Linked DNA regions of Notamacropus eugenii. The protein of the gene in region 2 purifies or fractionates together with the protein of the main gene of each other region. This does not show direct contact. Links are inferred from orthologs where the notes say so. Each region holds a gene or a part of one and is shown on either strand. Other genes may lie near its edges.

The links.
Region 1: the proteins of MGRN1 (region 2) and MC1R purify together in Homo sapiens (affinity purification with western blotting; 3 studies listed by BioGRID). This does not show direct contact. The link is inferred for Notamacropus eugenii from reciprocal best matches to the Homo sapiens genes MGRN1 and MC1R.

The regions. Positions count from the first base shown.
Region 1 is NC_092872.1:707,868,709-707,875,884, reverse strand, and holds MC1R (melanocyte-stimulating hormone receptor), read right to left. Parts: upstream 1,915-7,176; 5' UTR 1,834-1,914; coding exon 883-1,833; 3' UTR 797-882; downstream 1-796. UniProt on the Homo sapiens protein: Receptor for MSH (alpha, beta and gamma) and ACTH. The activity of this receptor is mediated by G proteins which activate adenylate cyclase.
Region 2 is NC_092872.1:81,887,870-81,896,710, reverse strand, and holds the start of MGRN1 (E3 ubiquitin-protein ligase MGRN1), read right to left. Parts: upstream 3,725-8,841; 5' UTR 3,523-3,724; coding exon 3,435-3,522; intron 1-3,434. UniProt on the Homo sapiens protein: E3 ubiquitin-protein ligase. Mediates monoubiquitination at multiple sites of TSG101 in the presence of UBE2D1, but not of UBE2G1, nor UBE2H. Plays a role in the regulation of endosome-to-lysosome trafficking.

The DNA.
Region 1 (7,176 bases), about 630 Mb from region 2:
TAGGCAGAGTAGATTTATTGTCATTTCTCAGTCACACAGTTCCCACACAGCCTCAGTAACAGTCACTAACCCAGCCAGGTCAAGTCAGTTACAAGCCGATGGTATGGTCAAAAGCAGGGGAGTCAGAGTCAAGTGGCCAAGTTGGGAGTGGAACTTCCATAGTAGTACTCCCAGTCATCTGTCCCTGGTTACTACTGGCATCCCACATGACTGCATGTCCTATGAGTCTTCAATATCTTGGAGCTGGGTGGGGAGGTAGGAGGGGTGGGAATACTCCAAATGCTTTTTCATGACTCCAGGCTATTGTTGAGGTATCTTCTTTCCAATCTGGAGTGTCCTGGCCCTGCCTCCTAGATGCAGTATCCTTAGCAGACTGGGATGGGGAGGGAACAGGTCTCCAGGTACTCATATCAGTAACAAACTGAATTTCAAGGCTTTGGGGATGGGGCTGAAAAGCTTATTCTCAAATGGAGGAGAAAAGTGGATTAGATGCAGAAGAGTGTTCTCCTGTTCCTGTTGTATATTATGTGCACACCTGAGCATCCATGTGTGTGCATACCTAAGCACATGAGTAAAATTGAAAATTGAAAATGCACACGTGCATAGTGTCTCTCTCTCTCTCTCTCATACATACACACACACACACACACACACACACACACACACATTCCATCTCATCATCCTTCTCAAAAAGGCAATTCAGAAGTTGGATGCCAGGCTGACTAATGATGCATATTCCTCTTCACCATGGGATAGAACAGGTTGTGCCCACTAACCAGAACATCTGCAGATGAGAAGCTACTCTCCTTGGTTACATTTTGCACCTCTGTCCCACTGAGTCATGCCTGCATGCATGGGAATTTGCAATGCCGCCCCACCCCCTTACCAGGAACACAGAATCACCTCCTTGAGTGTCTTGCGGAGCTCCTGGCTGCGGAAGGCATAGATGAGAGGGTCAATAACTGAGTTGCAGATGATGAGGATGAGAAAGAGGTTGAAGTTCTGGAAGTAGCAGCTGCATGTGGGATGCTTGGGACAGAGGACAATAAGCGTGAGATGCAGAAAAAAGGGGGCCCAGCAGAGGAAGAAGATGCCCAACAGGATTGTGAGGGTGACAGCCCCCTTGAGGATTGAAAATTGGTGAATGGTATATCTCTTGTGCAACTGAGCAATCCTCCTGGCATGCTGGCATGACTGGATAAACATGTGAATGTAGAGGACGACCATGAGCCCCAACATAGACAAGAAGAAGCCAATGAGACAGAGCAGGACTACAACATGGTTGTAATAGGAGATGAAGAGGGTACCGGAGAGGGCACTGAACACCCAGATGCCAGCAAGGACTCCTTGAGCTCGACAAGGGGTGACAATGCTGTGGTAGCGCAGGGCATAGAAGATACTGATGTAGCGATCCACCGCAATGGTTCCTAGGAAGGAAATTGAGGACATCATGGAACTACAGATCAACACATCAATGACATTTTCAAGCTGTTGCACCATAGATGTCTGCATCACCAGCACCCCTTTCTCCAGCAGTAGCACCACCAAGGTCTCCAGCAGGTTGCTGACACTCACCAGAAGATCTGATAGAGCCAAGCAGCAGACAAAATAGTACATGGGTGAGTGGAGGTTGTGGTTCTTGATGATGGCCACCACCACCATGACATTCTCCACCAGGCTCAGTAGCCCCAGAGTCAAGAATAACTCATCTGGAATGAAGAACCCCTGGCACAGAATATCTGTCTGGTTGGTGGGGATAACTTGATGGAGGGTATCTGGAGAAGTGGAGTTCAGAGAGTTAAACAATCTCTTCTGTTGACCTGGCATCGGCATAGTTCCGGGTTAAGAGCAGGGAGCTATGAATGTGAAGCTGGCAACATGGATGAACTGGAATTTTCAAATTCCTACCCTGGAGGGCTTTCTCAAGGTCCAGCAGCTGCCTGTTGCTGTTTCAGTTCATTGTTCTCATCAGTTAGTGTCCAGAGGAATCTCCAATGTTTCTTTCCTCCTCCCTCCCCCTTTGGTCTCAGACAAAAATCACAGCCACCAAATCCAATGCATACTCATTATTTCTCTAACCCATCAAAAGACATCCTACTGATCTCATTAGCCCAATGGAGGTTGCGATAAACCCATGTCACGTCCAATGTTGCCTACTCATCCTTTCTCTACTGCTTGACTCCAGGACCCAGAGAGTCTCAAATTTCCTGCCTGAACAAACCTAAATTCTCAATCTGTGCACTTTTCTCTTCTGCCTGCTCCCACAGGTTGTTTTGCTCCACAGGAACGGAAGTTTCTTTCTTTCTTTCTTTTTTTCCTCTTGGCTTTTTCATCTCTTTTCCTTAGCTGGGTGAAGTGAACAAGCCAGTAGGATATGAGGTCCACATCTCCTCGGTTTCTGCATCCCCTGGCAACTCCAGGCGCAGCCCTCAGTCTTGGTCCAAAGAAGTGGATTGGAGTTGATGTTCCAGTGAAGAATGAAGCCTCTCTCCCCCTTCCTTTAAAGACAGTCTGTGGAGCCCCTCCTTCAAAGGAGGCTGATTGACCACATGATAGCGGCTCATGCAGGGAATGCCCAGCACAGCAGAGTGATTAGTTATGAAACTTGTTAGAGCTGAGGAAGTTCAAGACCTTACATAAATGTCTTGTAGGTACTGCCTGCTAGATTCAGGTAGCTGACAGTAAAACCAAGGATACTCTCACTTGGTACCAGGGGCTCTGAACCCAAAGAAGCAGTGCCTGGGAGGTCCAAACTAGGAACACTGAATTATTACAGGAAGATTGGCTTCAGTTTAAAATTAAGATTTTTAAGGCAGTGGGAATTGCCTATAAATTAGATTGGGTTACCTTGTTAGAGTAGGTTTCCCAGAACTAGAAGTATTTGAGCAGAGGCTAGATGACTCAACTGTCAGCTATACTGTAGAGGGAATTCCTGCACTGAGGTCCCAGTTTGGAAGAGATAATTTCCAAAGACCTTCTCAACGTTAAGATTCTGTGAACCCTAAAGGTTAAGCTCATATGGAGCCTTTCTGTTAATTCTCTTAAGTCCCAGGAGGAGAGAAAGGGCTTCATAATTGTATTTGATGAGGCGGCAATACTACGGAAGTTAGAAAGAATTGTAGAGTCCCAGTTCATTATTCAAATAATTAGTTTGCCTCTCTTTTCCAACCAGTAGAGCTCTATTCATTTATCTGAGATCTCTAGCCCAAGACCTTAGACACATTCTACCCTGAAAATTAACACTAGGCCAAAATGAAAAGAAAGTGACCATCTTCACCTGCAAATTGAAATGGTGCATACCATTGAAGCAACGCTTGTCCAGAGGAACAAAATGACCTCACTGTGTTAGAGTTAAGTTACAGTGTGTCCAACTGTGGCTGAATAGACTAATATGAGCTCAAACGTTTGGGGTGGATTCTCTAAATTTACACATCTCACAATTCTTTCAAGCTATTTCAATTCTGCTTTGTTCATAGAGCACAACAACACTTTCTCTGATAGGGGCACACCATGCTGGGTGGTTCTGTGCCAGTGTCTCCCTTATCTTACAATTGATTCTAAAGTTCTTCAGAGAGACCTTGAAAGTGTCCTTGTATCGCTTTGTCTGACCAGCATGTGAACATCTGCCTTGTGTGAGTTCTCCATAAAATAATCTTTCAGGCAAGCGTATGTTTGACATTCAAACAATGTGGCCAGCCTATTGGAGTTGTACTCCCTGCAGAAGATTTTGAATGCTTGACAGTTTGGTTCAAGAAAGGACTTCATTGTCTGGTACCTTATCCTGCCAAATGATCTTCAGAATCATTGTAAGATAATTCAGATGGAAGCAATTCAGATTCCTGGCATGGTGCAGGTAAATGGTCCAGGTTTCATGGGCATACAATAATGAGGTCAGCACAACGGCTCTGTAGACCTTCCGTTTGGTATAGTCGAATACTGTTCTCTTCCCTTTTCCTTTGGAGCCTCCCAAACACTGAGCTGGCTCTGGCAATGCGTGTGTCAACCTCATTATCAATGTGTACATCCCTGGAAAGTATAGTGTCAAGATAAGTAAATTTATCCACAGTATTCAAAACTTCTCCATTTGCTGTAACTGAGGGTTCTACATATGGATGATGTAGTGCTGGCAGATGGAGAACCTGTGTTTTCTTGGTGGTTAATTGTTAGGCCAAAATTAGCACAAGCAGCAGAGAATTGGTCCATACTTTGTGGCTTCTCAGCTTCAGAGGCTGCATTGAGGGCACAATCACCTGTGAACAAAAAAACATGCACCAACTGTCCCTCCACTGAACATAAGCCCAAGAATGCAACACATGTAAGGAGTGCTTAACAACAAGAGGACCTTCTGGCTTGGTTTGCTTGGGGGTGGTTGGCCATGCACCATTGTGCTATCCGTAGCTAGCACTTTTTTCTTATTAAAAATGTTTTATTGATGAATTTTTTCATTTGTTATATCACTGTCACTTCCCAATAATTCCATCCCTCTCAACAGTAGGATCCTCTCTTATAATAAATAAATCTAGTTGAGCAAAATAAATTGATGCCATAGTCAGGTCTGAAAACTGATGTCTCATTCTATACCTCTCCTTTGTTATCTCTGAGATGGGAGGCACACTTCCCCTTACTTGGAAGACACAATGGAACATGGGATTAGTCACTGATGAAGTTTTTTCGGTGTTGTTCTCCTTTGTTCCCTCTCTGTTCTGCCTTTGCTTACTTCATTCTGCATCAGTTCATTCAAATCTGCCCCAAAGTCTCTGAGTTCTTCCCCTTTGCCATTTTTGATAGTTTAATTATATTCCACTCCATTCCTATTCCACTGTTTGCTCAGCCCAACTTAGGCACCTATATTCCTTCAGGTCTTTGCTATTTTATCTTTGAGACCCTCTTGGGGGAATATTCCTAACATTTTTATTGCCAGGTCAAAGGTTATGTATAGTTTAGTTATTTTTTTAGAATTCCAAATTGTCTTCTAAAAGAGTTGGATCGATTCACAGCTTTACCAATGATGCATTAATGTACCTGTCTCATTTTTGCCCATCTGTAGGATGTGAACTGGGATCCGATTTGCTTTAATTTGCATTTCTATTATCATTAGTAATTTGGAACATTCTCTGATATATGACTTTTTGGCTTACACTCCTCAACCCAAAGCAAGGGTTTGTTTGGGATGAAGGCCAGCAACAGCTCTCTCTCTATTCATTCATTTCCACTGACCAGCAAGACCACATTGGCCCCAGGGAAAGAGTCACATCAAACCTAGACTCCTCGGCTCCAGCACTAGTTAGCCAGAAGCTGAGCATGTTACACTGAAAATCATTCATGGCAGAGCAGAGAGTGCCCACAGGGAGGGTAGTGTGATGACAGGGAATTACCCCTACTGTCTTTCTTCCAAAGAGCTCAAAGCATTTTCACATCTATAATTACATTGATTCTCACAAGGAATGGGGTTATTAGCCTCATTTTTGCAGATAGGAAAACTGAGACAAAGATAAAGTGACTTATTCCAAGTCATAAGTCAGAGGTGCAGTTAGAAACAGAACTCAATTATTGATGTCCCATCCAAAATATCTGATTTCATGTTTCACATCACTGTGTCTCAATCTTTTCCAGTCTATGACACACCTAAGGAAAGCATCAGACCATCCCGTGGAGATGTGTCCCTTCCATATAGCCATATTAGTTCTCCCAAACCTCCATCCCAGTCACTTGTCTCTGTCTGCCTGATTGCTTAACTGTAAAATGGGAATCATAATAGCACCTGCCTCCCAGGGCTGTTGTGAGGATCAAATGAGAATATTTGTAAAGGGCTTTGTATAATGTCTAGCTGATCTTTTAACTCTAAATCCTATCATCTACCATTTTAACCCTTTTCCTTCCTGGTTTAAAAAGAAATTGTCAAAGGGGAAAGAACCCAGAGCATCATGACATACCAATGCTATCTTCCTAATTCCCCAATCATTTAGTTGTTACCTAGGGCAAATGACCTCAGTTCTCTGAGCCTGAGGTTACACATCTGAAAACTAAGGGTGGAAGGAGGGGGAAAGGTGGTCAAGGTGAACTCTGAGATCTCTCAGCTCTTTCCTCTGACTTCTGCAGCCATGCTGGGACATCAGGACCATCGAAAGCTGGCTCCCCTAGGTTAGACAATCCCTCCTTGGGTTTGTCACTTTTTCCTTCCCAATAGGAAGCCTAAGAGACTCCTATCCCAGTTCATCTCTAAAGGTCTAAACAGTACAGTAATAACTCAAATCATTCTTTGTATCTAGAGCATGATGCAGAATCAGAACCAAAGGACTCCTCTTTCAGCTTTCCTGTCTCTGACTGCTGTAGAAAGGAGCTGTCCCTGAGTTTCAGTGATATTTTCAATCCATAAATGAGACCTTTGACGTCGATGCTCCCCACCCACCAAGGCACATAGACTTCAAAGAGCGTGAGAATGGGACAACCTTTGGCAGAAAGCTGACCGCAGCCTCTTCCTGGCGAAACCCTGGCCAGTGGGCAACTAAGACCGGGTAATCTTGCCTCAGGACAGCCACATTACACTAATTTTCATTAGGATAAATATGGTCACTCCATTAGGACTACTGAAGGCCAGGGGCAGAGCATTTGCCCATTGTCATGAGGACATATATAAGCGGAATTTACAGATAATTGCAACCCAATACTTCAACTGTCTTTCCTACTAAGTCTTTCACCAGAGGTACTGACAGATCTGAGTTTTGTCTCCTTTTGCTCTGGTTCCCTTTATTGGCAATGTACTTCCTGAGCAGAATTCTGAGTAGTGAAATAGCCAGAAAAGGAACTTGTAAGATCTACTCAATGTATCGTCTCTAATGCTTCCAGCATATATAGATGTGAACACTCCTTCCCACAATGCAGATGGTAACCAGCCCATGTTTGGTTAGTCTCTAAGGCTCTCATCCATGTCCTCCCATAATTTCACCAGAGGGTGAATTCACCACTCAACCTGCTGAGACCCCTCTTCAAGTTCCCCTGAAGTCCAGGGATACCAACAGAACACATGGATGGTCCATTAATTGTCTCTCATATTTGCTACATGACTGGCCCCTTTTTTTTCCCCCAAATTGTTTTTCTGATAATATACTTCAAACCACTTCCAACTGTTCATTTGTTATGTATTGCCCACCATGAAGGAATGAATTAAAAAAACAT
Region 2 (8,841 bases):
AAACATCTCTCTCTACTCATTCCGGAAAATATTCGGCAGGTTTTTCAAATCACACATGCATGCATATTTACAAGAGAGCAAATTAGATAGAGTTCAGAGAGACGTTTTACTCAAAGAAAACTAGCAATAAAAACATAATGAGCTCAAAGTTTAAAGTCATGGCTATAACCTTCCACTACTACATAAAGCCATCTAAGACTAAACATCATTTTAAATTCAAGAAACTCAACAAGCCACAGCTTGTTCAGGCAACAAAACAACTACAAAGGAGGTAATGTCTACTGAACAGAAGGACACACGCTTGCCCTACCACTAGCTATATGACCATAGGCAAATCCCCTCATCAGTTTTCTCTTTCCAATGGAAATGACAACATCTGCCTTACCTATCACACAAGAATACTGTGAGGATTTAATGGGACAATATATCCCAAAAAAACATTTTGAAAAGTGTGATGTAGTCTTTTGGTTTGTTTTTTTAAACTGAGCACACAAGTTTCCACTGAACGCATCTATCTTCCCTTAGGGCCACTTTCAATAGTACGGTTTCAAGCAAAAGATGGGTTTTTATTTATATATCATATTACATGTTTATTATATATAAAATTTTATATATGTATATGTATATGCATGTATGTAAATCTATATCTATATATCTTCAGTACCATGCCCCCAACTAATGTGTGGTCACAAACACTTCACAAGAAGTTATTGTGAGGAATTTCATAAAACAGGCCAAGCAGGTCCCCAAATCTCAGACCAATAGTTCTCCCTCTCTTCACTCAGGAAGGAAGAAAACGTATCACTTTGTGTCAGATCTCCTGACAAATGTCCCACGGACAGACCCTGCCACTCACCCCCTCACATAAGGTAAGTAACCACTTTATATCAAAGGGGTGATAGAGAGTGTCAATTTTAATTTATGACCATCTAAAATCCTCAAGAGTAGGCTGGGAAAAATTTGAACTAGTAATTAAGTTTTTAGTACTTATTTATAATGCTAAAAGAGAGGTCAGCTAACACTTGTGATTTCTTAACCCCAAGAAGAGAGAGAAGGAAACTGAGGACATCTGAAGAAAAGGGTCCTAAGTTTCTGGATTGGCCATACTGTATCATCCATTCAACTTAGGTTTGCAGCTATTGAAAATTCTCTTGCAGAATTTGGAAAAATCCTAATACCCACTTCGCAGACAATTCCTCATCATGCTGCCTATGCTCCAGTCATCAATCTCATCTTAACTCCATTGCAGCCTTGAACTTCCCTCCTAACTCCTCTAGTTCTGAAAGGCAATCATTTGCCTTACCTTGCTAGGAAGCAGGCCTCCACAACACTTCTTAGTCACCTCCATACTAGAGTATGTATCTCTTACTTTCTAACTCCCATTTACATGACATCTTCAGTCAGTAGAATAAAAGTTCCTTGAAGGCAAAGATTGTTTTTTCTGCTTGCATCTGTATCCCCAATGCTTAGCATAGCCTCTGGCACATAATGAATAACCTATCTATCCATCCATCCATCCATCCATCCATCCATCCATCCATCCACCTCTCCAATTCTACATGGTAGGAGCCATGAGACCCATACAAGAGACAAGGTCTAGGAAGGGAAACAATCACAGAAACTCTCTGTGACAGAAAGCAGATCAGTAGAGAAAATTATTTGAAAATAACGCATGAGTCTTGAGATTGGCAGACCCCAAAAGGGGAGTGATCATTCTGAATCCTTAAAATCACTTATATTATATACAGAACTGATTACCTGACAAGGCAAAGAGCATCTGGTGCCAGAGATTACAAAAACCAGGGACTCCTTTGGCTTTGCCCAGTGTGAAAAAACAACAATCAAAAAACGCTTTTCATCCACTTTAGAATTCTGAGATAGATTAACTTTCTTTTAAAGAATGAACTATTCATTCTGTGGCAGATGTTAGGAAACTTCTGATCAGTTGCAATGAACCCTGCACAACCTAAGGCTGATAACAGAGCAGTTTTGCAGTTGTCTCTCTGGCACCGTGTGTGGTAAGAGAGTATAAAGTACATGGACATATCCACTATCCTTCAGCACGACCACCTAGGGACACAAGGGCACTAAGATAATGGCCAATGAATTTCACCAGGTACCTAGAAGCCAAAACGTTCTCCCTGTGCCTGAAGATCATAGCAATATCCTGGGAAAAAAATCAGCTTTCCTCACAAATCCAGTCCCTCCCCTACAAACAGTTCCACAGTGCCCTTTTACTATCCTCCCAAATCAGCACCTTGTTCAAGGAATATTTAAAGCATGGAAGATTTGGGGGAATCTGAGTTCCTCTATACCCACCCCCTATGGCTTCTTTTCTTTGTTTTATTTGTTAATGGCTATGAGAATAGGCCCACTCACCCCTATCCCTACTTTTGTGAGCCCTAGAAAATTTGAAATAATGCCCAAATTTTGCCAACTTGGATCTGCTGCAGTGGGGGAAACCCCCGAAAAATGGCAGATTGAAGAGATCTGAGCAAAAGGAAAAATACTTTGGGCTCAATGACAAATTGGCTGAAGGGAAAGATGGGTAAGACTATGGACCTAGAATTAGGGGAAATTAAGGATGGCCAAGTGGCATCCACAGCGGCTCTAGTAGTATTTCAAGGAGGGGTAGGCACAGGGCCAAATAGATAGGACGCCCCAATAATAACCTCAAAGTCTTCATTGAGGTGGTAGGGATTAGATAAGGCTCCCTACCGATGGGGACAAAGTACTGGATAAGGAATCAGAGGACCTTCAATTCTGACTCCCACCTCCTTTCTGTGTGACCTTGAGTCACTTAAGTCCCAGTGACTTCAGTTTCCCCATCCGTAGAGGGTCACAGCTGAAAAGTCCCCTCTAAGTCACAATCTATGAGGGCTCAAGGATGACAGCAGGTGAGCTCCAGCGCTCCTAAGTCCTGGGAACGGATTCACGAAACCCAACCACAACCCAGAAGCTAGAGTGGCTTCAAATGATACCCCTGCCTTCCAGTTTGGTGCTAGCCTGAATGGTTTTTAGGGATGTTTCCCATTGGGGCTTTATTTAAGCGGACGAGGGGGGAGGGACGGCCTCTCTGTCTTGGCTCCAGCTTGGCAGAAGGTGAGTATTTGGGTTCTGCGTCAATCAGTGGGTTTCTTATTCCCGGGTCAGGGCCAGAAGCCTGAGGACAGTGGGGGTACAAGGTGCCCACCATGGCACCACGGAGGAGCCTGCCCGGGATGCACGCATCCAGATTGCTGGACCAGGAATCTGTCCTCGGGCCGGGGCCCCCGGGTTGGGGTTAGAGAGGGCCACAGCAGGGGGGAGGGGGCACAGGGGACAGCCCGGCCAGGAAAGGCCACTGAGGGCGGGGAGGGGAGCACGAGGAGGGACCGACAACGAGGCTCTGCCGCGGGCCGGCCGGGGCTGGGGAGGAAGAGCTGGCTTCTCACCGGACTTGGGAGGGTACCGATAGGCCGAGTTCGCCTGGATGTCGATGTCCTCCACCCCGGCGATCCGGCGGCTTAGGATGGACCCCATGGCGCCAGGGGTGGAGGGAGGGCTGGCAGAGGCTCCGGACGGCCGCGGGGTGCCGGGAGATCCTCACACGGACATAATCCGGCTGCGGTCCAAGCTGCCCGGCCCCAAACACAAACACCCACTGCGACTGCGGCGACAGCGGCGGCGGCGGCGACGGCGGCGGCGGCTCGGCCCCCTTCTCCCCACCCCCATCGCGACGGCTGGCCGCTACGCCACGGCCTTCTCTCCTCCCTCTCCCTGTCCCAAAGAACTATGGGAAAGAAAGTTCTCTCGCTGCTAAGGGTTCCGCCTCACAACGCGGAAATCTCGCCCTTGGAACTACATGTCCCAGAAATCCCCATTACCGGAGGCAGCCAGGCTGTTGACATTCTCTCTGGGCTATACCAAAGGGACAAAAACGGGAAGGGGACAAGCAAACCATCTTTACTCAACCTGTGCCTTTCGCTACTTTCCTTCTCCAGTTATAACACACCGACGTCATTTGTGATTTTACCTTACCATGCTCTTTTTGAGGGGAATATCCATTAATTAAAGGTAACCCTTCCGATTACCCCCCACCATCAAAAGTCCCCCCTCGTTGCACCAATGGTTCCCTCCGCTTGCCAGTGCCCCAACTCTGCTTGCGAGGACCAGCAGAGGGTGCTTGGGCACTTTTCACCTTGTAAATGAACGAAGACGGTGGGGCCCAAGCCGAAGTTTCCAAGATGACCTGCGGAAACTCAGCGAAGATGGTTTGGCGTGACCGCGATGGCACGCATGATATTCAGATACAGCTCTGAACTGCCCCGAAGCACGTCCGGGGAAACGCGCGAGAGGAAGGCCATAGTTCTCAATTAGCAGATCGACCCACGGAAGGACAGAAACCATCGTCTTGTGACCCTGGCAGAACTGGAACCGGACCCAGGCGGCCAGTTACCTCCGAATTCCGCGATCGGCCGTGGGTCGACCCGCGTGTATTCAGCTCCGCCCACGTGCTAGGCACAGTGCTGCAGCTAGGCAAGGCTTGGGAGGAGCTCAGCAATAGTGGGCTGTCATGATGCCCTCCCCAGATGCATGCGGATCGAAACCCATTTAGGACTCGATGGTTTTCCAGAATGACTGTGGCGAAAAACGAATCCACCCGCAGACCCTCCGATTTTATTAGGCTGGTTCTGGGACAGCCCCCCCTCCCTACCAGATCATACCCGGAGCCTTGGCAGCTTGGGGAGCTCCACCAGCCAGGGCTTGGCACGGAGCTGCCTTAGCCTGCAGGAGTTCTTCATTGCCTCTATCTGGCCATAAAACATAGGACCTCGGTCTTGAAAAAAATCACATCGGTGTTATGACTGTAGACTGAGCCAGTGATGGACAGATGGAATCCAGTCTGTCACGCAGGCACCCATGGAGATGACATTGAAACTGTTGGCATTCTACAAGGAGCCCATAGGCTGCAGATTGTGCAGGCTTGGGATGGAATTCAGTGTAAAAAGATCAGAAAGGCAAGAATGCCCAACAGAGCATCTCGTATTGGCTCCTGGAGGTAACGAACAGGAAGCCACTGGAGTTTGCTTATAGATAAGGTTGTCATGCATGGGATATATTCCAAAATAGCCAGACCCTGTTGTAACAAAATGGCTAGCATCATATACAGCACTTTAATGTTTGCAAAGCACTTTATGTACACTACCTCATTTGTAGCACTTTCGTTAGGGATGGATATAACCGATAATTAGAAATATAATAACATAAACAGGTAGAATCAGAGTGTTAGAGCTGAAGGAAATATCAAGCATCTATCTAGTCAGTCCCTTTCGTTTTACAAAGGAGGGAATATAGATGCCCTAGAGATTAATTTGCCAAACATCATGCAACTAGTAACAGACAAAGATGATACACCATTCATGAAAATTTACTTTTCAAGCATCTTTATTACAATTAAATAAATAGCTGGATAGAGTAGCAGTCTGTCTTTAAGGAGTTGATGATCTAGTTGGGAAGAAGATAACTTATATGAAATAATAATGTAATATAAAAGGGAAAAGTTATTATAGAATAAGGTTAGGCTAAGAAAGCATCATAGAAGACTGGTGCTTGGCACACAGTAGGCACTTAAATGCTTGTTGATTTGACTTCTTGACTAGAGAAGGTCAAATCTTGAACTGAATCTTAAAAGAAATGTAGGATTTTGGTGAAGAAAATCTTGGAAGGCAGAGATGAGAACTGCAAACCTGCTAAAGCTATGGAGAAGGAGAAATGGAAGACAAACAGTGGCTATCTTTATCCCTTATCAAAGCTAGAGTTCCTAGGAAAGGCAACAGAAGAAAACGTTAAAAAGATTAGCTAGACTGCGTGGTACCCACTGGATCAGGAGAGAGTATGGGTTTCCAGGGTTAACAGGGTATCCTGTCAGCATTGAAGAGAAAATTTTAACTATTTCAGATCTTCAGAGGCATAAGAAACAACAGAACCATACAAGAAACATACCAAAGTAGGAGATGGCTTCCCTTGTGTTTTAATCCTAATTCTACTGACATATTATGTGACCTTTAGAAAATCTCTGGCTTCTTTGTGCCCCAACCTACTGCCTTAAAGGTTCGGATGAGGTGAGGGACAAAGGTGAATAAATATGCACCACCAAAATGTATAGAGTACTTTGAATTAATAAAAATGCTGGTCTCTAGGAAAATAAAAAGGACTGTTAATATTGGTTTAGTGTTATTCATAACACAAAATAACACAAACCAATGCCTGAATTTCCTTGAGCAGTTTGTGCTTGTACAGCCCACTTAACAGGGCAGGTGGTAGGATGGAGGAGAGAGAAGGGAGCTGTCGGTGCCTGGAAACAGCTGATGGTACCCACAGTCTGCTGCCATCATGCACAAAATCAGCCATAGAGAAGGGCACACTCAACCACTGAAACCTGGGGCCCCTCTGTCAGGCCCCAGCTTAGCTGACTGAGGAATCCAAAGTCCAGTCTCCAGGGCAAATCGTTACTTGCTGAAAACAATTTTGTTTTCCTTTCCTGTCACACCCCCTCCCGTAGGGCCCCCATGTTTTTGCTGTCAAGTTGGTTACCACTGGATCCAGTGGGAAAACAACCTAGCTCAGAGCCCTAGAGTAGGACCCAGGCTTGTGAACTTTGTTTCAATAAATACCACCCAGAATGAGGGCTGACTCACAGCCTGGGAGAGTTTCCTTTTTTCATTGCTGGCACCCACTTGCCTGGCACCTTGTGTTGCCCCTTCAAGAAAGAAAAACAAATTATGAAGAAGGGTTCTGCCTCCTTTGAGAAGAAAAGTGTCTTGTTGGACTGCTTGCCTCCCTGGCCCTCATTCCCACCCTGTGGTAGCCTGGTGATCGCCTTTCTCCCACCCTTTCCCCACCAGCTTTGCCAGGAGAACTGGCTGCCCTTCAGTTCCCTACACCAGATCCTTGCCTGGCAGAGGCCTCTCTGTAGCTCGCCAGGGCTCACTGAATTCATGCTTTGTTCTCACAGACGCTGCTGAGGCTTTCATTTCCACGTCTCCTGCCTTTAAAACTGTGGTCTAGTATCTTAGGGAAATCTGGTCCGAATTCCGGTGCTATCACAATACCACAAAGAGGCTAGGCATTCCTCAGTGGCGCTATCCACACAAATGATGGTAGACACAATAAAGAACCAAGTTTAAATTCTTGTATAGACAGGATTATTCTCGTTATACCTGGCAACTCCACATGACAGATAGCCTTGGTTCTTTGGAAGCCTCTTAGGCCTTTGCTCCCAGTTCCTGCCCCCTGCTTTCGGAGATTCCAGAATCAAGCATTCATATCTGCTTGTCATCTGTTGCTGCTTAGCAACCCCATTTTATGCCCATCACTCCATCCCAATCAGCCCACTGTGACTGGCAGATTTCTCCTTGAATCCAGAATGCCAAAGGTATGCAAAAATAATGTTCCCCATTGTCCCTAGAGACTTTTCAAAGCCTAGCCAACCTGACTCTTCCATGTCTCCTGTCCCTCCAATCAGTTACTTTTTAGGAAGAAGCCTGTTGGAGTTGTGGCATTTGAACTCCCAGGTGAGATCTGTCTATGTAGCACCTGAAAAGTAATATAATCAAAATGATTATAATGTAATCCAATTGAAAACATTATAATTTTTACAACAGTTATTTCTCCTCAAAGCCACTCCTCACCAGCCACTGAGCTGTTGTGTTCCAAAGAGCAAAGAAAAACAACTGAGCAAAACATAGTGATTATATCTAAAAAAATATATCACTTTCCACATCAATAGTTAGCTGAGAGGAGGGAGGTGCTCAGCAAGCCATGTATTAAGTGTCTACTTCTAGGTACTCTAGGAGCTTATACTTACGGATACACGTAAACTGATCAGCATTTATTAAACACCCCAAGTCTGGCAGGGGGCTAGGCACTGGTCATAAGAAAACAAGGACGAAACAAGAGTTGTCCTCAAGAGCTAATGTTGCATGTTCAGGGAACACAAATGACAAGTAACATAATAATTTAAGGAGCAAGGAGAGCACGTTAATTGCCAAGGGGATCAGGGAAGGATTTTTGAAAGAGGTGTCACCTTAAACTTGGCCTTGAATGAATTTAGGGATTCTAAGAAGTAAAAATGAGGTCAAAGTGCATTCTAGGCATAGGGGTGGAAAGATAGCTCATGCAAAGCCACGGAGGCAGAAGATGGAATGCCAAGTTTTGGGAATAGCAGGTAAACCAGTTGGGCTGGAATTCAGAGCATAGGCTGGTGAGAGTGTTGGTTCAGCAGCCAGAAGATCTGGGGTCAATTCCTTATTTTGATGCTTATCTCCTGTGTGAACTTGGGCAAGGCAACCTCCCTAGGCCTTTTTGCCTCTGTAACAAAAAGCAGTGGCCATTGAGGTTTCTTCTAGTTCTAGACTGATTTTTCTATCTATGATTCAGTAATGAATAATGTGAAATAAGCAGGCTGGAGCCAGTTTGTTAATGGTTTTAAATGCCAAGCTGAGGAATTTCTGTTTCTATCTTGGAGGCAAGTAGGGAGCTATAGAAGGTTCCAGAGCCAAATAATCATAAATTACCACTAAACCCTACCTAAGGACCCCTGGAGGTGGCATATTGCCTTAGTTTAAAAATATAATATGGTTCATGTTTTATTGTATCTTTATTTTTTATTATTCCCCAATTACATTTTAATCTGGTGGTAGCTGCCATAGATTATATAGTGCTGTAATTCACAAGAAGATTTCATGCCTCTGTTATGTAATTTTTTCTTCCAATAGTTAGACAGGACAAATATTGTTATTCATATTTTACAGATAAAGAAGTTGAGGTTCAAGAAGGAAAAGTGAAAAACTGATAGAT